2 linked regions of the Pelodiscus sinensis genome follow. The protein of the gene in region 2 purifies or fractionates together with the protein of the main gene of each other region. This does not show direct contact. Links are inferred from orthologs where the notes say so. Each region holds a gene or a part of one and is shown on either strand. Other genes may lie near its edges. The genes, in order: EIF3A and EIF4B.

What was found.
Region 1: the proteins of EIF4B (region 2) and EIF3A purify together in Homo sapiens (co-immunoprecipitation; 3 studies listed by BioGRID and IntAct, with this or other methods). This does not show direct contact. The link is inferred for Pelodiscus sinensis from reciprocal best matches to the Homo sapiens genes EIF4B and EIF3A.

What each region holds. Positions count from the first base shown.
Region 1 is NC_134718.1:59,141,373-59,156,921, reverse strand, and holds the start of EIF3A (eukaryotic translation initiation factor 3 subunit A), read right to left. Parts: upstream 6,735-15,549; 5' UTR 6,625-6,734; coding exon 6,576-6,624; intron 1-6,575. Other genes in the region: DENND10 (DENN domain-containing protein 10), read left to right, coding at 11,786-11,831, 15,147-15,343. UniProt on the Homo sapiens protein: RNA-binding component of the eukaryotic translation initiation factor 3 (eIF-3) complex, which is required for several steps in the initiation of protein synthesis.
Region 2 is NW_027465874.1:248,143-263,468, forward strand, and holds the start of EIF4B (eukaryotic translation initiation factor 4B), read right to left. Parts: upstream 7,912-15,326; 5' UTR 7,790-7,911; coding exon 7,771-7,789; intron 4,100-7,770; coding exon 3,959-4,099; intron 2,997-3,958; coding exon 2,788-2,996; intron 1-2,787. UniProt on the Homo sapiens protein: Required for the binding of mRNA to ribosomes. Functions in close association with EIF4-F and EIF4-A. Binds near the 5'-terminal cap of mRNA in presence of EIF-4F and ATP.

The sequences.
Region 1 (15,549 bases), on a different chromosome or scaffold from region 2:
GGTTGGTCCCGCAGCCCCGAGGAGCAGTGCTACTGGACCTACCCAGCAGCACTCCAGCTGTTCTGCCCCCTGCTTCCCGGATTCAGTGCTGGTCTGTTTTAGCAGCGGCTGAATCGGGGAAGCTGGGAGCAGAGCAGATCCAATGGTCCGGCTGCCCGGAGCACTTCCGGGTTCCTGATGGTGCCGGACCATCAGGAGTGCCGGACTGTCAGATGCCGGACCATTGGAGTTTTACTGTATTAGAATTCTTTCAGAGTGTCAACAAACACAGAATGATAGTTCAGTGGATACGGTGTACCTGAACTTTCAGAAAGTCTTTGACAAAGTTCCTCACCAAAGATTCTTAGACAAGTATGCAATCATGGGGCAAGAGGGAAGAATCTTTCATGGATCAGTAACTGATTAAAAGATAGGAAACAAAGAGTAGGCATAAAGGATCAGTTTTCAAAAGGAAAGAAGTAAATAGCAATGTCCCCACTGTGCTGGGACCAGTGCTATTCATCATATTCATAAATGATCTGGAAAAAGAGATAAACATTAAGGTGGCAAAATCTGCAGATTTGGGATGTAAGTGTCTAGTTGACTATCAGATAAGCAAAAGCTTATAATGGACTAGTCCTTGATTAGTCACTCTCCCCCACCCTTGCTGCCTCTATCAGAAACAGCAAGAGAGGGAACAGGAGCCAGTGCTGGGGGAAGCTGGCTTAAAAGCCAGTTCTCCCCAGCACTGTCTCTGCAGGCCCAGGGAAGGAAGTGGGGATCGGGCACAAGCCGGGAATCAGCTGATTCCCGGCTTGCACCCAGTCCCAGAAGCGCAGCAGGGGGACATGGCACGAGCCAGAACAGCTGACTCCTAGCTCAAACCAGGTTGCCCCACTGCGCACCAGCCTTTTAAATGTATTAAGAGTCTGTTGGCTCTTAATACATTTTAAAGGCTAAAGCACAGCAGGAGGGACCCAGTATAAACTGGGATGGCTGATTCTTGACTAGTGCAGGGTCCCCCTGCTGTGCACCAGCCTTTTAAAGGCTGGACTGGAGCCTCCCTCCCACCCGCCTCAGACAGGGGCTGCTCCGGCTGGACTAGCCCCAAGGAGGGCAAGGAGCTGCTCCAGCCCCCAAAAGTTAACCAGAAGTGGTGAGCCTCACCCATAAGGAACAGCTTCCAAATGAGAAGAGATTAAAAAGAACAGACTTTTTAACTTGGAAAAAACTCAAAGAGGATATGACAGAAATCTACAAAATGATAAATGGTGTGGAAAAAGTGAGTATTTACTATTTTAAATAAAAAAGAAGCAGAAATCACTCAAGTGAATTAATGGGCAGCAGATTTAAAACAAACATAAGCAAGTATTTCTTCATACACCACTTAATCTGTGGAATTCTTTGCCAGGGACGCTGTGAACAGCAAAAGTATACTTGTGTTTAATTTAGGGATGTTAGGAAGTGAGTAAATAGAAAAATGTGTAGTCGATAGAATTTCTAGCAACTACACAATTAGTCAATAAGAGAGGAAGCCTTCAGGAGATACCCCCCACTGCGGTTCTGCAGTTTAAATGTCATAAGAACCAGACGGGCAGGCAGCTTGGCTCATACTACATTTAAACTGCAGAGTTACAGCAGGTCCAGCTCCTGGACTCAGCACGAGGTGCGACTGAGCCAGGCTTTCTCAGTCTCAATTCACGCCAGGTCCAGTAGCCAGTGTCTGCAGGGGCTCTCACTATGGAAGGCCCTATGGTCAGGGCTGCTCCAGCTGCAGCCAGCCCCAGCCACCATGAATGGAGCCTAGGCCCATCGTGGGCAGAGGCTGCTTCATGGCAGCCTCCTCTGTTCCTTTCCCCACTCCCCACATGCTGCTGCCTCTGAAAAAAGGGGGAGGCGGCACAGCGGAGACAGCGCTGGCGGGAACCGGTTTTTAAGCTGGCTCCCCTCAGTACCAGCTCTTGCTCCCCCCTCCTTCTGATATAGAGGCAGCAAGGTGTGGGGAGGAATGCAAGTAGTCATCTCAACTACCTGATAAGCCTACGCTTATCCTGTAGTCAACTACTCACATATATGCCTAGTTCAATTAAGAATTAGGTAAATGTGTGGGGCAAGGATAGATCAATCAATGACTGCCTGTTCTATTAATTCTTTCTGAAGATTCTGGCATTGCCCTCTATAAGAAGAAAAGACACTGGGCTAGACCATTGGTTTGACCCAGAATGGCCATTCTTCTGTTTTTAAAAGCTGGGCAACACGCTTCACTGAGGGAGCATGTCCACTATATGCAACACAGAAACTATAGTAAATCTTTGGCCATTTATCAGTTCTCCGATTATTATTAAATATTTGTATTGCCACAGTGTCTGGGATCCCGTCACAGGCCATGAGTTCACTGCGAAAGACACTGTGTAAATAAAAAAGACAACCCCTTCCCAAAAGAATTTAGAATCATCATGTAAAACAAAACAGGTGGACAGATAAGGCCCAACAGGCTGGGGCCATGGCCAGCAGTGCCCTGTGGGCTGGAACCAATGCCAGCTGGGCTGGAGTGGTCCTTGGCCTGGATCCTGCTTAATCGGTTAAGTCTAACGTTTAACCGGTTAACTGATTAAATAGGATTTTACTAGGGATGTTAGATCACGGGTAGTAGAATGGTCAACTAACCACATGAATTCTTAGCGGTTAGTCGACTATTCTATATTCCCAGGGCTAGCAGACAATGTGCTCCAGCCCCACTCCTGGGCAGCATCCTGCCACTTTGCACTGTTGCCTCTGATACAGAGCAGGGTGGCAGCAGCCCCTGTTCACAGGAAGTCTAAGCTCTCCATGGACAGAGGCTGCTCCAGAGGGGAGCTTGGACCTCCTGCAGACTGGGGCTGCTGCTGAGCACCAGCCTGTCTGTGGTGAGCCTGGGCCCACTGCAGGCAGGGGCTGTTTTGTGGCAGCTTCCCCTAAGCCCCTCACTGTACTGCTGTCTCTGATAAAGGCAGCAGTTGGTGGGGAGAGGGAAACAGGCAGCACTGTGGAGCTAGTGCTAGCGGGAAACTGGCTTTTAAGTCAGATCCCTCCAGCATTAGCTCCTGCTTCCCTTCCTCCCCTCCTCCCAGAGGCAGCATAGTAAAGGGGATGCAAGTAGTTGACTAGATTAAACAATTAACCTAGGGTTGACAGTTAATTGTATAGTTGACTATTCTTTCACGTCACTAGATTTCACATCCCACATCTTGATACACCAGTGGTCTAACCGTGGTCAAATTTTTGTAGGCACTATGACAAAGAAGAGTTTTAAGGAGAGATCTGAAGAAGAATAGAATAGCTATGAGGGTGTGTACAGAAAGCTGTTCAAAAGCATATGGGGCAGCATGAGAGAAAGCACAAAGGTAACTATTTGAATATTTAAAAGTCGGTGATGGTATCTGACATCACTGATGAATCAGAAGTGGGAGTTGTCATTTTGCTAGTGCATGAGACACAATATGTAGAGCCTGCATAAGTTTTGAAAGATTTTGAAAATGAAGTGAAGCAGCTTACATTTCATAAGGGATACCAGTAGAGGGATTCAAATAGAGTGATATGGTCTAAGAAACAGGCTAGGAAAATTATATTTGCACAGCGTTCTGAATGAGGTGAGACTGTATTTGTTAAAATTAAAGCAAAGGATGTTTCAGTAACTAAGATGTGAGTGCCTGGACAGAGTTTTCACTGTGCAAGTGGACAGGAAAAAACAAATGAATGGCAGTGGCCATGTGTGACTTTTACCCCATCTGTTACTAAACAGGAAAACTATCCTTTTTTTACATAGATCGTTACAATTATCTGTGCCTTTGTTTCTGCAAGATCAGATGACTGGAACATTATCTATGAAAGGCTATATGTATTGCTCATTCAGAAATGGAACCAAATATAAAATGCAACCACCTCTTTTCAATACATTGCATACAAAATACAAACATCAGATCTTCTTTTCCCCCATACCATGGAGTTACAAAGATCATTTATTCGGCTTATTTCACCATGACAATCCTATAAATATTGATTTAAATCTTAAATTAAGTATCATTTAATTTGTGTGAAGTACCATAAAAATCAAAACAACGAAAATTGTTAAGTTTAATTAATATTTGTGATGTGCTTTCAAAATCTTATGAGGTGCTTATGCACTCTGTCATCAGGTGAATGACGAAGGCTGACCTACCTGCGTATGCTGAGAGTAGGAAATACAGAACATGGGTAGTTTGTCAGACCGATGTAATTCAGGGTACGTCTAGACTACAGGCTTTTGTAAATAGCTTCTGTCAACAAAGAGCGTCTAGACTACATTCAGTTCTGTTGACAAAGCACGCTGCTTTGTCGACATGGCAGTGTAGACGCAAAGGACGGTGTAGATGCAATAACATCTTCTGTCGACAGAACTCCATCGACAAAAGGCGTTATTCCTCGTAAAATGAGGTTTACCAGCGTCAACAAAACTGCTGAGTTCTGCTGACGTTATGTCGACAGAACTCAGCGGTAGTGTAGACGCAGGTTTAGTTTTGTCAAAAAAGTCCACTTTTGTCAACAAAACCCTATAGTCTAGACACACTCTTAAAGACTACTGTATAATCATTGTTTTGGAGGGAAGATAGCCTTCTTTGAAAATCCCATCCGAAAAGGCTAAGAATCAGGTGTCCTACTCCATTAGGGGCTTTTGACAATTCCAACCTTCATTATTAAGTTGACAGAGAAATCTGTACTCAGGACCGTCTTCAAATTACAAACTAGTGTGGCACATCGAACCCACATGCCATCCAATAAAACTTTGTGCTGTTTTCACACACAGCGCATCTAGTATTATCAGAGCCTTAGACAGACATCATCTCTGTTAGATAGTTTTGCTGGCTATTTAAAACAGGTTACACTGAACATAAAAAATGTTAAGTCTGCATATTCAATTTGGCAGGAGTTTGTTGATACCCACAGCCAGTCAGGCTTTACTCTTGGAAGCTGGTAAGGGATACTTCAGCAGCAGTCCTTAGTGATATTTGCTTTAAAACCCTGTGCGCATTAGGAATGTTAAATTTCAATTAATTGAGTAATCCAATAGTCGATGCAAATTGCATATTTGATTAGTCAATATGGGTGCCTCCGCCTCTGAAGTGTAGAAGCGGTCCCAGAGCTGTTGCTACACTTTAAACGCAAAGGTGCTGGAGGGAGCACGGAACCAGTGGGGCAGTCCCCCACTGGCTCCATGCTTCCCGCAGCATTTGAAAGCGGTAGCACTGTGTGGAGCCCAGGGTCAGCAGGGGAGTCCCCAGCTGATCCTGGGCTCCACGTATTGCTGCTGCTTTGAAACACCACGTGCAGCTTGGGGACTCCTCAGCTGTCCCCCATATTTCTCCCCCTTGCTTCCTCTTTCTGATAGAGACAGCAAGGGGGAAGAATGACTAGTCTATTACTGTGCTGACTATCCTATAAGCATGTGTTTATCAGACAGTCAACTACTGGTTCACATCCCTAGTCTGCATTTGTCCTAGGATATTATTTATACATTAAATAAAAAACTGACATTTTACTGTCTATAAAATAAGATCAGTTAACTAGGGGTGGGCTGTTAAACATGGGACCTGCAAAGAACACTATGAGGAAAGTAGATGACTGCATAAACATCTCAAATTGTAGCAGGCCTGATTCAGCCAAAAATATCGAGAGAATTCTAGAATGTACTGTGAAGATGTCTCTCAGACAAGACCTTTAATAAAAAAAGCTCTGTTCACTCTGCATCAAGATTAAAAATATCATGACAGATGCCTCAGGACAAGTGCATGCAAATGAAGTGTCCTACACTTTGTCCTACACTTCAGTTTATCAACTGGCTAGGCAGAGGTCAGAGTGATGTACAGCACCTTGCCCATTTCATTGAAGCCTCATCCCATTGGTTTATTTCATCCATCTGGCAGCGTTTTGTCACACCCTAATGACATTTGATTGAGGGCTGCGCGCCTGCCCGCGGAGCACACAGTACAACACAGTCTGATTGCGGATTCATGGTTCAAGAGGCTGCTTCAACACAGAAAAATAGAGGGGGGAAGGGGTGCCCTTGACCTGCCTTCCGCCTGGTGCCACGCAGAGTGCTGGACAATAGCTGCCAACTTCCCTTCGCTTCAGCAGAGGCAGCCGCAGTGGGGGACAGTCCGTGCAATGCCGCCGCGTGAGAGGCCGCGTTTACACGGGATCGGGCTGAGGGCCGGCGCAGCCTGCTCCGCGCTGCACAAAACCCGGGCAGCTGCGGGCCCGAGGCGGCTCCGCTGCAAATCGGCCGCGGGCAGCGCCGGGCAGGCGCGAGGGCTCATTGTCACGCTCGTCCCGCCCGCGCCACATGGCCCCGCTGAGGCGGCGACTGCCGCGGCTGCCGGGAGCGAGGCCCAAGACGGGGAAATGCTGAAAACGCCCCCCCCCCTTCCCGCCCCCGGATCCTCCGCGCCTGGGACGGGTCCTGCCGCGGCCTGCCCGGGCGATGGTCCCTGCGCCGGGCCGCGGCTGGGCCTAGGCCCGGCCCTTCGCCACCCGGCGCCAGGCAGGGGAGCGGGGCGGGCGCGGGTCCCGCCCGCACTCACCGTTCGCCCGCTTCAGGGCATTCTCGGGCCGCTGGAAATACACCGGCATGATGGCGGCGGGGGCAGCGGCGTCTCCTCACGGGGCGGCGGCGGGCGGCTGCGTGCGCCCAGACAGGCAGCCTGCTGGGCCGGAAAGGGAGCGCGCCACGTGACCCACGCGCACCGACGTGTCCAGAAGCGGAAACCCCTCCTTCCCCGAGAGGGAGGGGGAAGCGGGAGGCTGGGGTGTAGCGATCCGTCCCGGCATGCAGCGCTGCATTCGCCTAGTAGCCCGTGGTGGAGGGGTTAGCGCCAGGCAGTAAGAGCTTCGGCAGGTGTCGGTTCGAATCCTCTGTCCCCATGGTAGCAATGCGCGACCTGTGACCCCTGTAAGGGACAAGCCTGGCTGGGTGATGGAGAGGGTGTGTTGCAGGCACTAAAGGTGCTGCAGGACCTTTCCTAAAGGAATAATTCAGTGCACATGTAAAGAGCACCTTACCATAGACTCCTGGGGCTGGAAGAGACCTCAGGTCATCTGGTCCAAAGCAGGACCAACCCTAACTAAACCATTCAGCCAGAGCTTTGTCAAGCTGGGACTTAAAAATCTCTAGAGATGGAGATTCCACCATATTAAGTGACCCAATCCAGTGCTTCACCATCCTTCTAGTGAGAGAGTTTTTCCTAATATCCAACCTAGACCTCCCCACTGTAACTTGAGACAATTGCTTCTTGCTCTGCCATCTGTCACTACTGAGAACATCCTCTCTGAAGCCTCCCTTCAGGAAGTTGAAGGCTGCTAGCAAATCCCCACTCACTCTTTTCTGCCAACTAAACAAGCCCAAATCCCTTAGCCTCTCCTCATGGGTCCTGTGCTCCAGACCCCTAATTATTTTGGTTGCCCTCTGCTAGACCCTCTCCAATGCATCCACATCCTTTCTATAGTGGGCAGCCCAGAACGGAATGCAATACTTTAGATGTGGCCTCACCAGTGCCGAATAAAAGTGAATAATCACTTCTCTAGATCTGCTGGAAATACTCTTCCTAATGCACCCTAATATGCAATTAGTGATAGAAATGTAGCCGTGTTAGTCTGGTGTAGCTGAAACAAAATACAGGACTATGTAGCACTTTAAAAACTAACAAGATGGTTTATTAGATGATGAGCTTTCGTGGGCCAGACCCACTTCCTCAGATCAAATAATGGAAGAAAATAGTCACAACCATATATACCAAAGGATACAATTTAAAAAAAAAAGTGAACACACATGAAAAGGACAAATCACATTACAGAACAGAAGGGAGATGTGGGGGGGGGGGGAAGGAAGGTGAATGCCAGTGAGTTAATGATATTAGAGGTGGGGAAAGGAAGATGTCTGTGAGTTAATAGTTTAAGAGGTGATAATTGGGGAAGCTATCTTTGTAATGGGTAAGATGTCTTTGTTAATTCCTCTGTGGAGAGTGTCGAATTTTAGCATGAATGCCAGTTCAGAGGATTCCCTTTCAAGTGCAGATTTGAATGTCTTCTGAAGTAGGATGCAGGTTAGCAGGTCATTCAGACAGTGTCCTTTCTTGTTGAAATGACAAGCAACTGTTTTTTCTTTGTGATCCTGTCTAATGTCTGTTTTGTGGGCATTGATTCTTTGGCGAAGTGTCTGAGACGTTTGTCCAATGTACATAGCAGACGGACACTTTCAGCACATGATAGCATAGATTATATTTCTGGAGGCGCAGGAATATGTATTCTTGATCTTATAACTCACTTGGTTAGGCCCAATAATGGTGTCAGCAGAGTGAATATGTGGACAAAGCTGGCAGCGGGGTTTGTTGCAAGGGAAAGTATCAGGGTTGGTATTAGTGTGGTATGTCCTGTGGTTGTTGGTAAGAATCATCTTGAGGTTAGGTGGTTGTCTATAGGAGACTATGGGTCTGTCTCCCAGAGCTTCTTGTAGTTTAGTGTCCTATGCAATTAGACTTCTTGGCTACAAGGGCACACTGTTGACTCGTATTCAGCTTCCCATCCACTGTTATCCCCAGGTCCTTTTGTGCGGCACTGCTGCTAAGCCACTTTGCCCCCACCCTGTAACAGTGCTTGGGATTCTTCTGTCCCAAGCGTGCAACTCTGCACTTGTCCTTGTTGAACCTCATCTGATTTCTTTTGGCCCAATCCCCTAATCTGTCTAGGTCACTCTGGACCCTATCTCTACCCTGTAACATATCTACCTCTTCCCCCTAGCTTAGTGTCATCTGCAAACTTGCCAAGGGTGTTATCCATCCCCTCATCCAGGTTATTGATAAAGATGTTGAACAAAACCAGCCCTAGAACCAATCCTTGGGGCACGCCACTTGAAACTGACCACCAACCAGACATTGAGCTGTTGATCACTTCCTGTTGGGCCCAACAATTTAGCCAGTTTTCTATCCACCTTACAGTCCATTTTGCTTATCAGATAGTTGACTAGTTGCTCACAATCCTACTTCCAGCACTAGCATCCCTGAACATGAGCACATGTGATTTTACAGAACTATATAGAACATATAGTAAAGGGAAGACTTGGGTCTGAAATCTGGCAATTTACAGTGGCAATGAGACAATTTATTATTGTTTTGTTATATTTCAATGGAATTTTTACTTTATTGATAATTGTTGGTTTCTTATGTTTTCTTATTGTTTCAATATTGTGCAGCCACAAAAACACATATAAAGTCTCAAAACAATTACAATGCAACCTGAATAATATATTTCAAATGGTGGTTTAATAATAGGGTGAGAGCCCAGAGGCACCTTGCACTCACTCCAATTGTTATTTTACCAGAAATAAATACTTGTTTCTGTTAATAGCAAGAAGAGCAGGCTGGGTGTGGAATGGAATGTTTCTGATAAGCATTGTGACTGTACTAGAAATATTTTCTTTCCCTTTCTCCACCTCGTACCCACACTATCAAGAAAGAATCAGATAAAACATAAGAATTGTCATTCTGCATTTCATGTAGTCCAGTATCTTATCTCTGGCAATGGTCAGTAGTAGGTAGGTCAGTGGAAGGTGTAAGAACCCCAAAATAGACAGGTGTGGGATAGGCTTCTACCTTATCCTCTATGGTTAGAGACTGACATAAACCTTGAAGCTCCAAGTTTAATTTTCCTTCCATTTTTGTTATAATTAATTATAACTTCAGATATTCTTATTCATATCCAAACCTGCTCTGAATTTTTATAACAGCTTCCTGCAGGTTGAGTTCTTCAGTCTAATTACATATCATGTAAAAAACTATTTAATCAGTTTTGAATTTACCAGCTTTTAATTTCACTGAATGTCCCCTTGTTCCTGAAGTATGAAAAAGGGAAAACATTGATTCCCAATCTACTTCCTTTCATTATTTTATATACTTTTGTCGTGCTCTCTCTTACACGTGCCCTTTCTGAGGTAAACAAGATCAATCTTTTTACTTTTACTTTTATGAGAGTTTTACTATGCTTTCCACACAATCTAGTGAAGAGGTACTCAAAACAGAAGAAAACTGGTAGGCCCCAATCCTACATTTATCCATGTGCTTAATTGCATGCAGACTTTGCAGGATCATTGTATGTGTTTGTATAATGCCAAATACTCCTGACCCAGATTCTGTTTGTAGCCTTTGGATGTAACTGTAATAAAAGTAATTGATAATAAGTAAGACTTCTAAGCAATGTAATTGTATTCTGTATAACAGTTTGCATATAACTATACCCAGCAATGATTCACAGGGTTAAATAATACACATAGTTACAAAGTTAAAACAAACAGAAAAAGAGAAAAATTCAGGACAGTCAAAAGTAAAAAAGATAGTTTTTAACTTTTACTTGAAAATAGATCGGAAAGGTAATGAGATGGACATTCACTTAGTCATGGAGAAGAAGGCTTTAAGAATGTGAAATGCTGCCCCCCACACATGCACACACATCAGAAGAGTAACTGAGGAAAGAAACCCACCCTAAGTAAACATCAAAACACGTTGACAGTTCACCATTAAACATAAGTGGAGTTCTGGTGCAGCTCAGGGTGTGCAATAGAACTGGGCAAACTTTTTGATCATACAGTAAATTAGTTGAAATATGTAGTTTTGAACAATGTTAAGAATTATTATTAAGAAAAGAAAAAAGTTCATTTGACATTTTTTAAATCAACCATTTTGACATTTTGCTTTTAAATGAATCATTTCATTTTGCAAATGTCCTGTCGGGCCAACATTTTATTTCAACATTTTGCTTCAAACCTCACTGTTTTGTTTTAAAACACTGTTTCAGAAGGACATGCGAAAAGTTGCAGTCAGCCTGCCTAAAATGCTTTCAGTTCTGCATTTTGGCAACTGGTGGGAAAAAATGTTTCACTTGGAAAATAACCGATTTCATTTATTTATTCAGATTGTTCACTTCAGCCATCAAACCAAAAAAATCAATCATTCAGTGAGCCATAGGGGGGAAATCACACAGGGGAGAGACCCCCAGAGGCGTAAGCAGGAAAGGGGGAGCCATCCAAAAGATCTAGGGGTGGTGAGGCCACGCAGAGGGAGTCAGGGCAGAGGGAGTCAGGGGCGAGGCCGAATGAACTGAGAAACAAAATCCAGGACTATGTAGCACTTGAAAGCCTAACAAGATGGTTTATTAGATGATGAGCTTTCGTGGGCCAGACCCACTTCACTACCTCAGATCAAATAGTGGGTCTGGCCCACGAAAGCTCATCATCTAATAAACCATCGTGTTAGTCTTTCAAGTGCTACATTGTCCTGTATTTTGTTTCAGCTACACCAGACTAACACGGCTACATTTCTATCACGAATGAAGGGAGGAGCGCCAGGAAAACGACGCGGGGTGGGGAGACCAGACCGCCCAGAGCGAGACCGGGTTGGGGGGAAGCCAGGCCCGCCGGAGGGGCCCGAGGAGCGGGGCGAAGCCCGGCTCGGCTTGCTGCTGCGGCAAGCCCGGCGCCTGCCGCCTCACTGGTCTCCCAGGGCAGCTGAGAGGCCGAGCCCGCGTCCTATGTGGGCCTGGGAGGCGGGGAAACAGCGGGGCCGGGCCCAGCGCCGAAGGCGGGGCCGAGGCAGCGGGCGGAGCCGGAGTGAGGCGGGGCCGGGCCTGGGCGCTCAGGCGGCGGCGGCGGCAGCGGCAGGGGATCCGGGAAGCGGGGGAGAAGGCCGGGCCGCGCCTGGTGCGCTCTGGCCGGGCAGGGAGGCGAGTGGAGCCGGACGGCGGGAAGATGGCAGAGCCGGAGATTCAGCAGCTGCTAGGCGTGGGGCTGATCGGTAAGGCGACCCCCCCGCCCCCTTCGCCCCTTGCAGAGCCCGGACTCCAGCTTCTTGCCAGGCTCCTGCCCCTTCAATGGAGGGTGGGGCCCTTGTGCCAGTGGGAGCAGACGTGCTGCCCCACCCCCTGCCTTGAAAGTGGTTTCCAGCGTATTCAGACTTCGCCGTGTGGTTCAGTGGCCCTCAGTGCCCAGGGCGGTGAGGGCAGCACCTGTCAAACAGTCCCCACTCTTTGAGGTGCACCCCTACCCCTTCTCCTTCACGTGCGGGGGCTGTAACCAACCCGCGGGGGGAAGGGGAACTGTTCCTCTTTTGCCAACTTTCCCTATCTTTGGCATGGCTTTTGACACAGTTCTGTATGAAGTTCTCATAAGCAAATTGGGGAAATGTCTAGATGAAATGGCTGTAAGTGCTCAAGTGGTTGAAAGATCACACTCAAAGGGTAATCAGTGGCTTGCTGATAAATTGAGAGACTGTCGGAAGGGGGGTCCCCACAGGGTTTCGTTCTGGGTCCTATGGGATGTTTACATTTGATGACTTGGCTAATGGAGTGGAGAGTAGGCTTATTGCAGATGACACCAAGCTGGGAGGGGTTGCAAGCACTTTGGAGGACAGGTTTTAAATTCAAAGTGACTTTGAAAATTTGGTCTTAGTTCCAACAGGATGAAATTAAATAAAGACAAGTTCAAAATAGTTCACTTAGGAAAAAAATCAAATACACAACAGCAAACCATCTAGTTTGGGGTGGGCAATTTTTTTTTGCCTGAGGGCCTTATCTCAGTACAGAAATTGTATGGTGGGTCATGAATGCTCACATAATTGGGAGTTGGGGTGTGGGATTGGGTTAGGGCTCTAGTTGGAGCAGACTCTGGAAGGGGGGCCAGAAATGAGAAGTTCAAGGTGCGGGAGGGGGCTTTGGGCTGGAACGGGGGGTTAAGATGCAGAAGGGGAATTAGGGCTGGGCTGGGATGAGATTGGGATTCAATGGGAGGATGAGGTCTCTGGGGCTGAAGATGAGGGCCTTGGGGTACAAGAGGGACTCAGGGGTGCAGGCTTTGGGAGTTGTCTACTTCAAGCAGCTCCAGGAAGCAGCAGCCTATTCCCACTCCCATTCCACTGCCTTATCCATAGGTACCACCCTAGTAGCTCCCATTGGCTGTAGTTTCCAGCCAATGGGAGCTGAAGAGCTGGAGTTTGGGGCAGGGGCAGGGGCAGCGTGCAACACCCCTGGCTGCCCCTGTCTCCAGGATGTGTTCACAGCTAAGACATGAGTAGAGTAGGGCAAGCAAGCTTCCAGCCCTGGTGCCCAAAAGCTGGAGTAAAAAACTGAGGGGTTTGATACAGCCCATGGTTCGTAATTTGCCCGCCCCTAGCATAGGTGGTAATGCTGCTGAAAAGACTCTGGGAGTTCTAGTGGACCACAAACTCAATATGAGTCATCAATGACTCATGACATAGCTGGAAAAAAAGCTAATATGATTCTGAGATGTATTAATAGAAGTGGTGTACAATAGATACAGGAGATAATTGTCCTTGTCTACTTAACAGTGGAGTACTGTGCCCATTTCTGGGCAGCACAATTTAGGTAGGATGTGGACAAAATGGAAAAAGTCCAGAGGAGAGCAACACATAATGAAAGATGTAGAAAATCTGACTGATGAAGAAGAGTTGGAAAAACTAAAGAGGTGTAGTCTTGAGCAAAAACTGATAGACAACCTGATAACAGTCTTCCAATATGTTAAGGGCTATTATAAAAGACACACTGATCAATTGTTCTCCATGTTCACTAAAGGTAGGACAAGACATAATGGTCTTAATATGGAGCAAGGGAGATTTAGGTTAGATATTAAGAAAATCATTCTGTCTATAAGGGTAGTTAATTCCTGTAATAGGCTTCCAAGGAAAGTCATTGAGTCCCCATCATAGGACACTTTTAAAAACAAGTTGTACAAACATCTATCAGATATTGTCTAAGTTCAGTTGGCCCTACCACAGCTCAGGGGGCTGGACTTGATGACTTTTTGAGGTCCTTTCCTGCCAAATATATGATTCTATACTGAGATGTAAACTCCAAAACTGCCCACAAAATTTAACTAGCCACTGATAAAAATGGGACTAACAACATATCTTTGCCTTTCTGGGGTGTAGTTAGGATTGATTAACTAGTGGGAAAGAATCATATAAATGACCAAGTGTTGCTTGTTTTCATTATTTATGTCAGTTTATCTTAAAGCACTTAGCGAGGAAAAGATTCCTGTAAAAAGCCAGAGCCCGCCCTCTGATACAAGCCATTGGGAATATGCGGGGGGTATCTGAAGGCAACATTTGGCATGTGGTTAGTAGGGATGTTAAAAGTTGTTTAATAAGGGAACCATGTAACCGCTAAAAATCTTAGCGGTTACATGTGCTGTGGGCTCTGTAGTATAAAGCTTAAATAAGCTTCATATTGCAAAGCCTTCCCCAGAGCAGGGTGACCAGCCATCTCCCACGGAGTGGGACCAGCAGGAGCAAACAGCTCAGCTGCTGGCTCCGCTCCTGGGGAGGAGGTTTTGCTGCCACTGTGAAGCCATCCGGGAGCAGGGCAGAGTTTAACCAATAACATTAACTGATAAGCATCATCTTATTGCTTAACTGGTTAATCGATTAAATTCTAACATCCCTAGTGGTTAGTATGGAATCTGGGAATGAAGTCTGTCTGAGTATTTATAATATAGCCCCTTTTGTAGCATATAGATGCCATATAACTATAAAATTTTATTGGCATACAAAGTGAAAGTATTGTTAATTAAGAACTATATTGATAATGTAGTCCAAACAAGTCTGTTAGTTTAACAATGAACAATTAATACTTAAATGATGCTTTACCACTTCAAAGCATTGTGACAGTTTGAATGATGGAGATTTTAAATTATGCAAGTTAGGATTCTGAAAATACTTTGTTCACGCTTATTTTCAAGTAATTAAATAATTCCATTGGAGTCAGTTAAGTAAGTGTGCAGGAGCTGCATAACTGAGAATAGCACCTTTGAAAACAAAAATTCTTACTTTTCTACATACTCAAAAGCCTCACCTGCCTAGGACTTTGCATGCCAGGAGTTAGCCAAGAGCAGACTTTTACAACAATATGTGAAAATAAAAGTTAATAAAAGAAGCACTCACAGACAACTTTTAACAGTTGAGGCATGAGTGGGTAGTGCTGTAGTTAGTATAAAAATGGGATGTTAAGCCGATTCCAGTAAACGGATCTGATTAACCAATCAATTTACTTCCTTGCTGCTGTTTGGCATTCTCACAGTGAACATCTTTCCACCATAGAAAAAGACACCAATGGAGATACTCTCTGGGTATGGTGTTATCCTTCCACAACAGCTGAAATGAGGGATCTGTTGCTGAGAAAATGCTGCCTTACAGATGAAAATAAATTGCTTCACACCTTTGTATTTGGCCAGTATAGAAGATCGTGGTTCTATATCACAACAGTGGAAGTTCAAGATTCTTCAGTTTTGGAAAAGGTGGGACTAAATCACCAATAAAGAGATCTAAAGCAGTCGAATTCCATGCACATCCCATTATCCTGGCACAACCAAACCCTGACCTTGCTTTAAATTTTGATAAGAGGAAGCTGCATACCAAGTTTGCTGGTCTTAGCTCATACTATTTAGGGACTTCTTGAACAAACACTCGCAGGTGGACAGCCAGCCAGCCAGACATTTCTAAA
Region 2 (15,326 bases):
TCACTCAGCTGTGTCACTTGCGAGTTGAGTGAGTTAAGTCTCTTTCATGAAGCACATCTGCAAAAAGGGCCAGTTTTGTTTCAAAACGCAGAAACCTCACATCAGAGAAGGCAGGGGTTTTTTTTTGCCTTGAAGTTTAAAATTGAGTGCATTTAAGTGGCGTGTCATATCAAGGAGAAAAGCCACGTTTAGCAGGAATGTCTCTGTCTAAACACAACAGTAAATCCCGGGGAACCTTTGCCTCCAAAAAACACTCATACAGCAGGCAGTAGATCCATAAACAGATCTAACTCTTTGCCTCGACTCAGTCATCTAACTTCTGCAAGCATTGGCAAGTCACTATACTGTGTTTTGTACTCCACAACCAAAGCTCGAAATTGTCTGTTTCAAGGCACTTGCAGCAACGAAGTTGATGATTTTTGAGACACTATCCATTGTGCTCTTGAGAAATCCTCTCTTCAGTTTGCTGCATAACTGGTGCAGAATGCAATGGTATGAAAAGAAATCTAGAAACTGTGGATTTTTCTTCAGCAAAGAAATTAGCCCCTTCTCTTTTCCAACCATGGAGGGAGCGCCAACAGTTGTTACCAAAATAAAATTCTTTGAATCAATACATTTCCTGGTCCTTCAAAAAAATGCCAGCAGCGCAAAATAAATGTTCTCTCTCCTAGTTTGACCCATCAAAGGTAGCAAAGTAAGAATTTCTTCGACAGTTTTTGCAATTGAAAAAACGCACCCAGATTATGAGCTGAGATGTCTGAATGATCAGTAGATTCGTCCACTGCTAGACTGAGATACTCAGTGCTTTCAAAAACAGATTGCCTGAAATGCTTTCAGCTAGTCTTACTATAGTTGAATCAGACACTTGCAGTTTTGATATTTAACTATATCCTCTGTTTTTAACTCTGCAAAAAGTGATTCACTTCAGTCCAAGAAGCACTGCTTCATCAATTCACCTTCAGTAAAAGGTCTTTTCGATTTAGCTATATGCCAATCCATTTTGAAGGAGGCTGTAACAGCATTGCTGTTTTTATAGGGCAAACAGAACACATCTTGTTGACCACAGTAAACTTCCAGTACGGAATGTATCTTAGTTTCTCTTAAATTGCTGTCAGGTAGATACAAGTCTTTGAACTCAGGGTGACAAGATTCATGGCATTGTTGCAGGTTTGTTTTAACACAGCGATAATCTTTTGACAAAGATGGCACATTGGTTTTTCATCTCCCAAACAGGGTTGAAAACCCTGTGTTCATCCAACAAGCATCTCTTCTTTGCTGCCGTTTTAAATGCGCCTTATTAAAAAAAAATTGTATACCAATTTTTTGGGTGTTCAGCTTGAAGTTTCAGGCTGTGTGTTTCTTGGAGTGATTTTACTGTTAAAAAAAAAAAAGTTTCCAAGCCAGAGCACTCCAAACCTGCGGCAGGTGGGGAGCTGGGCAAGTCAGGCCGGACACAAGAGGCAAAAAAGGACAGGTGCCCGGGATCCCCATTCTGGATTCCCAGCAGGGCTGACATCTCCACACAAGAGTCCGTTGCTCCGTGAAGAAGGGAAGCAGGGCTGCCCAGCCACACGCTGGGCCAAAATGTAACCAGTGAGAGCCAGTCAGCACCTCTCAGGTTCTGCCCAAAAAGCTAAGCAGCCAGCACTTCCCACAATACCCCGGCACTCCCAAAAGCTCCTCCATGGGGCTAGAAACACCGACACCTTGTACTCATCTGTTTCAACCAGTCCTTCCACTTGCGTCTTTCAATGCTCACCCTACCTGGGAAACACCACGCCATTATGGAACCTGTTCCCAGTGGAGGCCATGTTCAAAGGATCCCACCCGCAGGCCGTATGTTAAACCCCATGTGAACCCAAACTGCACCGCGGGCCACATGTGGCCTGTGTGTTGAGTAGCCCTGGAATAAGAGAACTCTGAGTACCAGACTACACACAACCCAAAACAGTCTATAAGAATGCCAGGAGATAGTAATGCTGGGCTCAGGCAATAAACCTTCAAAAAAAGATATTTGCCTTGTTAGAAGTCAGCTTGCAGAAGCTAGAACAAGTGGTCTCAACTGCTCTTAGCCACGAATGGCTTGCAATGAACACCTTTATTCTCTTTAGTGGGTCCCAGTGCTTTTTTTGGTTTAAAAAAGAGTGCTGGTACTCCAGTGGAAAAGTTGTTAAGTTCTGACTGGAGGTACTGGTACTGCGTACGGAGGTGCTGGTACTGAGTACCGGGCAGTACCATCACCAAAAAGGCACTGGGTATGTCTATCCTTTGAACTGGAAGTGCAATTCCCAGGTCAGGGAGATGCAAGCACATTAGCTCTGATCAAGTTTGTTAGCTACGCAGCAGCAGCGGGAAGGGCTAGGCACCTCAGAGTAAAGTCTGATAGACAAGCATACACTTAGGGTGGGTAGCTTTTCCTGCTACATACATCTCCACTATTTTTTTAGCATGCAACCTCAACCATGGGTGTATCTCCTTGAGCTGGATTTTACATATAGACGGCCTCAGAATGTAACAGGACTGAGCACCAAGGGCACAAACCATGAAGAAGTGGGATCCTACAAGGAAAATCATAGGCTTTACTCCCAGCTCCATTCACTTTTTGGGTGATGTGGGACAAGTCATTTCAGTCACAGAATTGGCACAATATCATGAGCTTCTTCAGGAGGGCTGAGAGCTTAACAGATGAGAGAATCCCACAAGCCGTAAGTTACATTCAGCCTGCCAACTGCTGCTATGTGGCCCCCATGTCACCAAAGCTTAAAATTATGCGCAACAGATACTCACATTGAGTCCTCTGAAGAAGTCCTTGATGGACTCCTCTGTTACATCATACGGCAAGTTTCCCAGAAAGGCAGTGTAGGGGGGTGACTTTGGGAGACGGCTTCTGTCTATATTGGGTTCCCGAGCAGCCCGAGGTGCGGTGGGTAGGATGGACCGGTCAATTGGTGGGGCTCGATACACATCATCATCGTTACTATGCCAAGTGGTGGAAACTAGAAGAGAAATTTTGTTCAGCATGTCTTGACCATGTACAAGTTCCCCCAGAGCTTCTCACATCCCCTCTTCATTGCAATTGTTTGAATTTACTTGCAGCTCCCTTAGTTGTAAAATAGAGGCATTAAAGATGGTCAAGAAAAGTGTTCAGTAATATAAAGAATCCCACAACTCAACTCTGTTGTCTATTGTAGGGCACCTTTCTCCCAAACATTCTATAGCACATAACAAAAGAAGGACTGCTAAACAAAGATAGGGTGCACCTATCGAAGAAGGGTAAGAGCTTATTTTGATACACACTGGCTAACCTAGTCAGGATGGCTTTAAACTAGGTTTGACGGGAAACCAGGTGACCAAAGCTAATAGGAGACCTTGGAGAAGGGTCAGAAATTGGGGGCAGCATGAGCTGTAATAGCAAGGATAAGAGACAGAACTAGGAGGGGAAAAAAAATTAAATCTTAGATGTCTGTATACTAATTCAAGAAGTGTGGGGAATAAGCAGGAAGAACTCATAATGCTAGTAAATAAACACACTTATAACACATTGGCATCGCAGACTTGGTGGGCTAATACACATGACTGGAATATTAGTATAGAGGGGTACAGCTTGCTCAGGAAGGACAGTAAAGGAAAAAAAGGAGGTGTTGCCTTACATATTTAAAATGTATACATTTAAACTAAGTTTGAGATGGAAATCGGTGAGAGACCTGTTGAAAATCTCTGGGTAAGGATAAAAAGGGAAAAAACCCAAGAGTGATGGCATGGTAGGGTCTACTACAGACTACCTAATCGGGAAGAGGAAGTAGATGAAGCTTTTCATTAAAAAAACAAAACCTAACAAAAACATTCAAAGCACAGGACTTGGTGATGGGAGACTTCAACTACCCAGACAGTTGTTGGGAACATAACACAACAGGGTACAGATTATCCAACAAGAGATGGAATGCTAGCAGCAAATTACCATCTCCTTCCAGGTCATCTGTCTCGTCGGCCCAGCTGACTGGTTTCGGAATAAAGGTGCTTCCACCACCACTGCCACCATCTTCTGCCAGAAAGTCCGTCAGAGTAAGGGTTTTCCCCTTCTTGTTCTTCTTCTTAGCTGCTAAAGAGGTGAAGGAGACACAGATAAGTAACACTGGGGCACAATTAATTCCAATAAATGCAGGGAATGGAAGAGTTACTGCCCTTCATATAATGCCTATGGAGGCAGGCATCCTACATGATCAGGAGGAACAGGCAAAAGTATTTCTTTCTGTCAATGTACTACTGCCTCTTGGAGAGTCTACTATAACAGCGGTGTGCAACCCGTGGGGGGCAGATGTCTTCCTGGTGGGCTGCAGCGCTAGGCCAGCCACCATTTTGTTCTCCCGGCTCGGTGCCCAACATACGCACAGTGGCGGGGGGGGGGGGGGGGGGGGGGGGGGGGGAGTGGCAGGAGAGTGGACCAGCATTTTCAATGAAAGGGGCCGCAACAAAATATTCCCAGTGCTGGGGGTCATGAATCAAAAAAAGTTGAGCACCACTGTGCTACAGTGACATAACCGCACTGCTGATATGGGACCAGATGAAGAGATTCACACCCTCTGTAAAACATGGCAACAGCAATGCCTTGCCTCACAGAGGCTGTGAGGAGAAATGCATTTAAAAATGCTAAGATCATAGAACCATAGAGCTGGAAGAGACCTCAGAAGGTCATCAAGTCCAGCCCCCTACTCTAGGCAGGACCAATCCCAACTAAATCAACCCAGCCAGGGCTTTGTCAAGCCGAGACTTAAATACCTCTAGGGTGTAGAGACTCCACTACTTCCCTAGGTAACCCATTCCAGTGCTTCACCACCCTCCTAGGGTACGTCTAGACTACATGCCTCTGGCGACAGAGGCATGTAGATTAGACTACCCAGCATAGGAAAATGAAGCAGCGATTTAAATAATCGCCGCTTCATTTAAATTTACATGGCAGCCGCACTGAGCCGATCAGCTGTTTGTTGGCTCAGCGCGGTAGTCTGGACACTCCGCGGTTGACATCAAAGGCATTTGTCGACCTCCGAGGTATGCCTCATCCCAGGAGGCATACCTGGGAGGTTGACAAATGCCTTTGATGTCAACCGCAAAATGTCCAGATTACATTTCTTGTGTTTTAAAACTGTACACTCTCTACAACTTCTATTTTGTTTACATTAAGAAGAAGAGACTAACACTAATCAGGTACTTCCACATGCACAGAACTATGGAAACGTACAATAAAACATCACCATACAACCACACACCGGTAATACTGAGATCAAGTTTGTATTAGTTGGTAATTAACACAGCAACACACATGTAGTGAAAATTTGTGCTATACATCTGAAAAGTAAGGATATAATTCCTTACTGACCCATACGCACATTCACATATTAACCCACCTGGAAAGATTTTTTCTGTGGTTGCAAAAAACCAAAACATTTTCACCAGCATATGACTCTAAACTAGTAAGCAATTTCCTTAAACTTTCAAAATACCACTTTAGGTCCAAGACCAACCATGGAAGACAGTTACCCGGAACTGGACATTTTAAAACCTGGAATTCTAATAAACTTTTAGCCTCAGTTTTCAGAAACACCTAGTGATTTTGAGGGCTGAACTTGAGACATTTTACAGGTTCCCAATTTTTAGCAGAAGGATGCCAAACATCTTTGAAAGTCAGGCCCCTCCAAATATCTCAAGCTCAACATCCAAAGCTATTGATGGCTTTTGAAAATGTATGCCCTTATCTTTAGTACTGGTTGTAGAAATGTTGCTGAATTTCATGCAGATCACTTATCAACATTCTCGTAGAGGAACGAAGTGATCTCTGTATTGTGACAACCAGTACCTTTCAATAAATGCATTTCATGAACAAATCTTACTTGCTTTCAAATCTGTTCCGCAACTGCAAGTAAGCCAGCTCTTGTCTAGCATTCTCTTTAGAACAAGCAGGGAACGACTCACTAGTCGTTCTGGCTGTACACTGAATGTCTAATAATACCTTCCCCTGTCACCCAACCCTATTTCCCACTCTTTAGCATACCTGATTTACTCTGTATTCCTATATTCCCCATTGGTCTCAATCCAGACGGTAGCATAGCAAGAAGGGTCACCCCTGTATTTTAGCCCTCTGCTGCAACACCTGGGCCATTGTGTACTATAGGACACCTAAATACCCTGGGAAACAAAGCATACCTACAGAAAAGACACAGCCCAGACTTGATGACAGAAATGTTAAGCTATACTCTCCACAGGATCTTCATTCTAAGCATCTTCTAGCAACATCCAGGAGAGGTACAGAACAGTTAAGAACGCAACAGTCAAGGCCAATTCTTTTTGTCCAGTAATTTTTTTTTTGCTTGCTCTGAATCTAATTTGACATTCCTAGAAACCTTCCCTTTAGTTTAAACTTCAGTAAACAAACTGGAAGACTTCTTGCTGTGGGGCTGTCAGAACAGTATAATCACATGCAACCAAAAGAGACCTTATCAGCTGCTTCTCTAACCATCTGGGGGGGGAAGGGGGGAGAGAGCACAAGATTGGAAAGTTGACTAGTCTGCAGTTAACTGCTGCCATCACAAGAAAGATAGCAACAGTTCAGCTCCTACAGACCAATAACCTGGCAGCAATTAATTTCACAGCCTCCCATCCACCATGCTGCCAACTGTGCAAAAGAATGCAGACTCTGAACATGGGCAAGTCACAACGATTACTGCCACATGACAACAGGGCACTCTACTGCCCAGACCATTAGACATCTCTCACCCCACCAGTCAATTTAGAACTCCCTTAGGTGGTCACAGTAGGTATTACTATAGTACTTCTTACGCTGATACAAAGCTTTCCAAATCACCAATGCCTTTCATGGAGTTAGTAAAGATGTCACATGATCAAGATTACCCATGTTCAGTGTACATTCAGCATCTTGAAGAATGGCCCTTTAATAGAGTTTCCATATCATGGCTGGCTTAAATCTACACAGTAGGCAGAAGAGATTTTCAGCATTAATAAACTTAGCAATGTGGGATGACAGAAGTACTGTTACTGCAGAATCCATGGCTGCTCTCCTTTGGTTTCTATTAGCTCCCTGAGGATGTTCTGTCTTTGATCTTCAGCCTTTAGTGACCCTTCTGCATGCCTTACAGAGCCTGGGGTACAAGGATGCCATTGGGCCCCATCTTCACAGGCAGGCACACAAGGTATCTGTACTAAGTGGGCTAGATTACTCCTTCAGTCAAGTGTTAGGAAGGAATGTCATTGAGTTGGAATGGTGTAACATTGGTGAGAGGGTAATGTGACCATAAAGTTAGGGCCACAGGGATATCAATGGCATTTCACAAGATCCAGGGTAGGCTATTGCAATCAGCATCACACAAAGGGGGTGGGGGGTACTTGCTCTGTTTCTATTCCTTCCCCTTCATTCTGCTCCCATCTCCTTCTGTCTGTTCTGCCCAGGGTTGAAGATTGCTTGGTATTTTCTAATGGGAATAGGTCTTGGCATGACTTTCTCCTCCAGTAGCTCCCAAGAAATCTATTTCTCTGTAATCTGCTCAGCTTCTCCTAATGGCATACTAAAGGAATTCAGCACTACCTAAGTTTTCTCCCCTTCCTCGAGCAGTAGCTCATTGAGAGCTTCTCACAACATTAAAAGACTACACTGCTCACAGCAGCATATTTTCTTCAGAAATTAAGTTTGACAACAAGGCACTTCTCACACCCTCCCAGGCAGCTCAGTATGAAGCAGCAGCTTCAAATAAGTTTACTTACTTTCTTCTGCTGCCTGCATTGTAACTGGGCAGATCCTGAACAAAGATACATGGCATTTGTTTGAACTGCTGTCCTTCTCACTTTCCTACCCCCTGCCCACCCTAGAGTCTAAATCCTGGAGCAAAGCCCCATGGTCCTTTTTTATTATTATTAACTACCTCATTCTGTTGCCATGGAAGCAACTGTGAAATCACAGATTTGGCTTCATGGCTAGGAAGAGGAGAAAAAAAATTCTTGAAGCAGTTTTGACCTCAAGCAAGATGGGAACAGAAAGCAACAAAAATCCTTCAGGTTGAGTTCCAAGGAGCTCCAGTTAATAAGACTGTAGGGCTGTCAGACTCAGTTCCTAGAGTCAGGAAGAATTTTGAGATGCGAGGACTATAACAAAGATGATAGATCTTCTATTCCCCATTTTGCTCCACCATCCATAAAGTTTGTTCTGTAATTACTAGCCTCCTGGCAGAGAGCTTACCCCATGCTTTCTATCAGTAGATCTCAAAGCTCTTTATAAAGGAAGTCAGTATCATCATTCCAATTTTACAGGTGAGGAAACTGATAGAGAAAGCAACTTCCCCAAGGTCACAGCCATGAATGAAACTCATACTCAAAGTCCCAGCTGAGCCCCACTAAGCCATACTGTCTTTTCCAGAGCCCCTCAATAGCACTCAGGGCTGGTCAATACTACAAGTTAGATTGGCTTAACTACATCACTCAGGGCTATGAAATTTCAGGCCTTGTGCGATGTAATTTAGTCAGCCTCAGTCCAGGTGTAGATACCACTAGGCTGGCAGAGGAATTCTTCCTTCAGGAACAGGTGGATTTACAACTGCAATGGATAGGTTTTTTCTGTTGCAGTAGAATCTGCTCTATGCCATTGCAGCTGCACCACTCTGGCATTTCTAGCGTAGACATACCCTCAATCTTCCAGAGAAGTCAGAGGAATCTACACAGCCTATACTGAACAAGAACAAGACTTGTAGCTAACATTTGATCACAGGGACACCCCATTTTGCATTCTACCTAGAACAGCTATTTAAGGAATAATGCCCTTTACCTAAAATGTGTCAGAAAAATGCTTAGTGGAGAGTCCATACAATTTGCTGGAATTATTTGAGTACAAAGACAGATTATTGCTTCTTTCTTCTCTGGTTACTCAAGTGATACGGCCAGAATTCCATTTTACTGAAAACTTACCTTTTCAAATCTCTTTTCATTCTGGTTGCCTTCTGCTCTACCTTTTCAATTCTTGTCACACATTTAATTCAGTACTGTAACAAGACTTCTAAGCACTACGTCAACTATGGCTTCATCAGTGATTAAAACAACACCACAGAGAATTAAATCAAAATGAGAATTGTCTGCCCTAGGGGAGCTTTAGAAGTTCAGACACTGTATAAACCACTCAGTTTACAAAAAGTAATTATTTTAAAGGTGGTGATACAAAATCTATATGCTACTTGTGCAGCTTTGAAACCCTCCAGAAAACCTCAGGAGTAAAGGTCTCATGATGTATAAGGGGACCCTCCTGATGTAGAAGAAATTGAGAAGACTCCACAGACTCCCCTTTCTGCAAAATGCTCAGGATTCATGTTTTTATCATGAATGGGAATGCTACTGCTGAGCACAGCAAGCAGAGGTTGGAAGAGTTCTTGCAAATGGGGACAATCAGAGAATCTAGCTAACCTTTAAGAACTAATTGCTATGACATTGGAATGTACAAGGGTTAAGAATTAAAATAGGATTACTCCTTTATGAGGGTTGAAGTTCAGTTTGCCAGGGGTAATCTCATGGCATCACACAAAGAACTAGCAGATCATCATCAGCAACACACTGCAGTCACTGCCTTGAAAAATGTCATTTAAGCGCCCTCCTGCTGGCAAGTGTTGTTCAGAAAGAAGGTGGCTGAAGGTGTGTTTCATGTACATTCCCACCACCCAAGAATATTTACTTGCTGTCAATGATTGGTTACTAAATGACAGCAAAAACACTGCTAACTAGAGCAGACGCTGCATTCATAAAACCTGCAGGCTGGCTGTTGGCTCAATTTCATCAAATGGCTGACAAGTCACAGGCAGGAGCTAACAGTATGAAGCAACTTCTGTAGTTGAACACAGTGCTGCTTATGCATCACTGAACCTGTGGAAACCTCATATGGCTGACAGAACAATGTAGGGAAAGCCAGTTGGACAAAAGAAGCTCTTTCTTGCCATTTATGAATTACCAACAGCCAGCACCAGCTGCCTCCTTAATATGAGCAGAAGCTACCAGTTATACCTGGGAGTGCCAAGCCCTTCAAGAACATTTTCTTAACATCTACAACTGGAATTGGAGTTTCCCCAGCTGCTATATACAAACAAAAATCAAATGCCACTACTAGACTCAAATGTAGCTTATTGAAATATTATCAGCCATTCAGATATGTACAGACAGTTGCTACAAAGTCTACATTTTAAAGTACAGAGCATTAACTTTTATTAATGCAGCTTTGTAAAACCATTGGGAAATCTGATCAGCCTAGGCATAAAACCTAATTGCTTAACTTTTGATATGATGAAATGGTAGTCTTTCTTAAACTTATCCCATTAAAAGTTACCCAGGCAAGTGTGAAACTAAGGAATTAGTATACTGTATTGTATATAATGTAGCTAAAAGAAATCTGTGTTTCATCAACCACTGTCCCTTATCCTTAAACTCCAAAAAATTATTCTGTTTTTGGGCTGCATCACCACATCATGGGCTCAGGTTCTAGCCAGCTACAGACATGCTTGTGCAAACACGGAGGCTACGTCTACACTGGCCCCTTTTCCGGAAGGGGCATGTTAATTTCAGCGATCGCAATAGGGAAAGGCCGGAAAAGAGCGTCTACACTGGCCCCGATCCTCCGGAAAAAGCGCCCTTTTCCAGAGGATCTTATTCCTACTTTGAAGTAGGAATAAGATCCTCCGGAAAAGGGCGCTTTTTCCGGAGGATCGGGGCCAGTGTAGACGCTCTTTTCCAGCTTTTCTAAAAGCCGGAAAAAAGCGGCGGACATTTTTATTTAAATGCCGCGGGGGATATTTAAATCCCCCGCGGATTTCCCTATTGCGATCGCTGAAATTAACATGCCCCTTCCGGAAAAGGGGCCAGTGTAGACGTAGCCATAGGGAAAAGGCAGGTATGTCTGCCTCAAACATTCTGCTGTGAAATATGGGACCATACAGTTCTTCTGATGGAACTCAAAATGGCATTTGCAAATTCAAAAGTTTTCAGTTTTCCTTAATTGCTGTCCTGATGCATATCCCTTGACATTTCAGTTGGACAGCAAGAGCAGTCACTGCAATTCATATGGGGTACATGTGATTATATGTACTTAACTTAGAAAGAGGTGAAAAAGTACTCAATCCAGAGCGAAAGTGAGTTAAGAAAACTGCCTGAACAGTTATAGTGATGCTTTGGCCTTTTCTAAATGTCAAACACTGTAGCAACTTATGCAAAAATGCAGAACACAGATTTTACCTCCTTTTCTCCACAGATCTGCACAGGAATTAGCACCAATGACCTGTGATACAGCTAGGACTTTTGCTGTTACTGTTATCAGAAGTATGACAGGTGTAGCCACACTAGTCTGTATCTACAAAAACAATGAGGAGTCTTACAGCATGCATCTGATGAAGTCTGTCTTTGCCCACGAAAGCTTATGCCCAAATAAACCTTTTAAGTTAAGGTGTCACAGGACTCCTTTTTGTAATCAGAAGTGTAAACAACGAGCTAAGAGACAGAAGTCAGAGTTTATTTTAAAAGCTTCAGTACAACCCTAAACACAATAGCTACAGATGCTACAGTTCTTAATGAAGCAATACTAGCTGGGTGCCAGGAAGAGTCCAACCGAGTAAAGCTATTCTGCACAAAAATTAATGGGAATTTCATTGCTCAAGACATGACAAGACTTAAATAAAGGAGCTTTCCATACCCAAACAAATAGGCCTTTAGCTCCAGGTTTTTAAGAAGGAACAGTCTTTGCTGAAGAGTTGCTTCAAAGGGATCACTTGCAATAAAGTGCCTGGGGTGTTGGGTTCATATGGTTAGAAAGAAGAGCCCTATTAGGAGAGTGAAGGGTATGCAATCTTCCAGGTTATTTTTTGGATAACACCTGCAGATGATGGTGCAGTCTGGCGCATTTCAAAGGCATATAAAAGTCACAGCCCAGAGTAAGAGAGTAACAGAAATTCAGCTAAGGCAGAGACTGTTTATCATCCAGAGAGGTGATTCAATCTCAAAAGCAGAGAAAGCCCTTACAGTTTAGATCAACTCTCACATCTTATTCTGAAGGGGAAAAAATTGCTGGAATGCCTTCCTCAACCTTTCAGGGATTCCATCCTGTCCTTACGCTCCAAGAAATACAAAGCAGACTGCAAACCTGGAAAGGGAGGGGAGCCATGTACTTCTGAGATAAAGGAGCCAATTTCAATCCCATTTTCCTGGAGCGAAGAGGCAGTACAGCAGGGCCCAACCCCCCATTTCCTGCAGTGGAAGGGCACTGCATCCCGGCTACTCAAGGGAAGGTGGGCAAGAGAGCTGGGACAGCAAGCAATTCCTGCTGAGGGCAGGCAGAAGGAGAACTGTACAGAGCAAAAGGAAGTGTGCTGTAACGGGAGGGCGCCAAAGACGTGTTCTTGGGGGGTGCCAGCTCCCGGGAGAGGGGCAGAGCAGAGATACAAACCATGCCTCCCGCAGGCAGGGCTGCCTCTCCCTCCCTACGGCATCCTCGGGGGCAGGGATGACGACACTCAGCCCTGGGCGCAGGCCGCAGATATACGGGGGAATAAGGGACAGCCCGCCCGTTCGGGCAATGACGCAGCAGAGGGGACTCCCACGTGGCGCGCTGAGGAAACAGGCCTCTTACTCCGGAGACCCCTGTTCCACGCGCCCCCACGTGGGTGCCACTCAGGCTCCTTCTTCCTCTCTCCGAGTCCGCTCCCACCCCCAGCCAATCCCCGCGCTTGCGCAGACGCGCGGTTGAAGGTTCCATCTGGCTCCCCTCCTCCCTCCCTTTCCCGTCAATCACCGCCGGCGCGAGCCACCCCCCCGCAACTCTCCCACCCCACCCCACTCACGGCAGGATGGCGCGCGCGTTGCGGGATGGAACGTTCCGAGCCACGGCGCGCGCTCCTGCCTCGAATGGCTGGGGGGACGCTGCGCGCGCTGGAGAAACCTGAGGGGAGAGGTGGGTGGCGCGCGCGCGCGCGCGATCCCTCATGGGAGGAGACAGGCGCGTGCTCCCCCCGTCTTCCCCGGGCCAGAAAGGGCGAGGGGCGGCCCGGGCCGAGGAAGCGGGTGGAGCTCCAGGGCCGGAGAAGGGATCCAGGCCCGGCTCAGGCTTCAAGGGCCCGCAGGCCGCCGAGCACCACTCACCTGAAGCCGCCATGTTGGGCAGAGGGAGAGAAGGCAAAGGACCCGGATGGGGCCGTCACGTGACTATAGCGAGGCCAAAGCCCTCCTTCCGAACGGGCGGGGCCCCGGAGGAGGTAGCCTGGTTGTTTCTGCGGTTCCAGGCGCTGCGGTTAAAGCCGCGGGTCGCGGCCGGGAGAAGTATTCTTCGCTGAGCATCGCCGCACGCTCTCGATTTGCTGATGCCAAGAAGGGGCTGGAATTGCCCGGCTTGGGGGGCTGTCTGTAGTATTCGGCCCCCCGGGCAACCATGCCCCCGTCCCTAGAGCCCCGCCCTCGGCTATCGGGGCAGTAGTGAATGGGGGGGAGTGGGGAGAGTTCCCGGGGGGGGCAGAGAGTGGGGTTGGGGAGAGTTCCCGGGGGGGGCAGAGAGTGGGGGTGGGGGGAGTTCCCGGAGGAGGGGGCAGAGAGTGGGGCTGGGGAGAGTTCCCAAGGGGCAGAGAGTGGGGTTGGGGAGAGTTCCCGGGGGGGGGCAGAGAGTGGGGGTGGGGGGAGTTCCCGGAGGAGGGGGGCAGAGAGTGGGGCTGGGGAGAGTTCCCGGGGGGGGGCAGAGAGTGGGGCTGGGGAGAGTTCCCGGGAGGGCAGAGAGTGGGGGTGGGGGGAGTTCCCGGGGGGGGGCAGAGAGTGGGGCTGGGGAGAGTTCCCAAGGGGCAGAGAGTGGGGGTGGGGAGAGTTCCCCGGGGGGGCAGAGAGTGGGGCTGGGGAGAGTTCCTGGAGGAAGGGGACAGAGAGTGGGGGTGCGGAGAGTTCCCAGCGGGGGGTGGGAGGCAGAGAGTGGAGTTGGGGAGAGTTCCCGGGAGGGCAGAGAGTGGGGCTGGGGAGAGTTCCCCGGGGGGGCAGAGAGTGGGGCTGGGGAGAGTTCCCCGGGAGGGCAGAGAGTGGGGCTGGGGAGAGTTCCCCGAGGGGGCAGAGAGTGGGGCTGGGGAGAGTTCCCGGAGGAAGGGGACAGAGAGTGGGGGTGGGGAGAGTTCCCCGAGGGGGCAGAGAGTGGGGCTGGGGAGAGTTCCCGGAGGAAGGGGACAGAGAGTGGGGGTGGGGAGAGTTCCCCGAGGGCAGAGAGTGGGGCTGGGGACAGTTCCCCGAGGGGGCAGAGAGTGGGGCTGGGGAGAGTTCCCGGAGGAAGGGGACAGAGAGTGGGGGTGGGGAGAGTTCCCAAGGGGTGGAGAGTTCCCAGCGGGGGGTGGGAGGCAGAGAGTGGAGTTGGGGAGAGTTCCCGGGAGGGCAGAGAGTGGGGCTGGGGAGAGTTCCCCGGGGGGGCAGAGAGTGGGGCTGGGGAGAGTTCCCCGGGAGGGCAGAGAGTGGGGCTGGGGAGAGTTCCCCGGGGGGGGGCAGAGAGTGGGGCTGGGGAGAGTTCCCGGAGGAAGGGGACAGAGAGTGGGGGTGGGGAGAGTTCCCGGAGGAAGGGGACAGAGAGTGGGGGTGGGGAGAGTTCCCGGAGGAAGGGGACAGAGAGTGGGGGTGGGGAGAGTTCCCAAGGGGCAGAAAGTGGGGGTGGGGAGAGTTCCCGGGAGGGCAGAGAGTGTGGGTGGGGAGAATTCCGGGAGGGACCGGACGACAGAGAGATTAGGGTGGCATGTGAGGTGCAGTGTGTTCAGAGTGCTGAGCCCTCCTGAAAGACCACAGGCGGATCATGCTCCACATCTCCAGGACACTGCAGAGCTGCCACCTCTGGGGTACTTGGCCGTTTATGGGCACAGTGTGGTGAGGGCTGACTGAGAGGAGCAAGGAACATGTTTATTTCCAGCTGTTCACTGGTGCTCTGTAACTAGCCATGGCTTTGTCTACACAGGAAAGTTTTTCCTATTATACTGTTCAATCATACTGCACTGTCATCAATCACCTCCTCTTATGTGGACACTCTTATTCACCTATGAGTGGGCTTTTCTGTCTAATTTATACCACATGGGATAGGATTGAAGCTAAAGCAAAGAAAACCATGCTTACATCAGGATAAGAAGCTTCAGGGGGTAGCGAGTTGGTCTGTACAGGGTAAACTTAAAAACAACAAATGCTCTGGTAGCACTTTATAGACTAACAAAACATGTAGACGGTATCATGAGCTTTCGTGGGCGCAGCCCACTTCTTCAGATGACCAGAATTCAGAAAGGAAGAGGAAATGCAAATTAGAG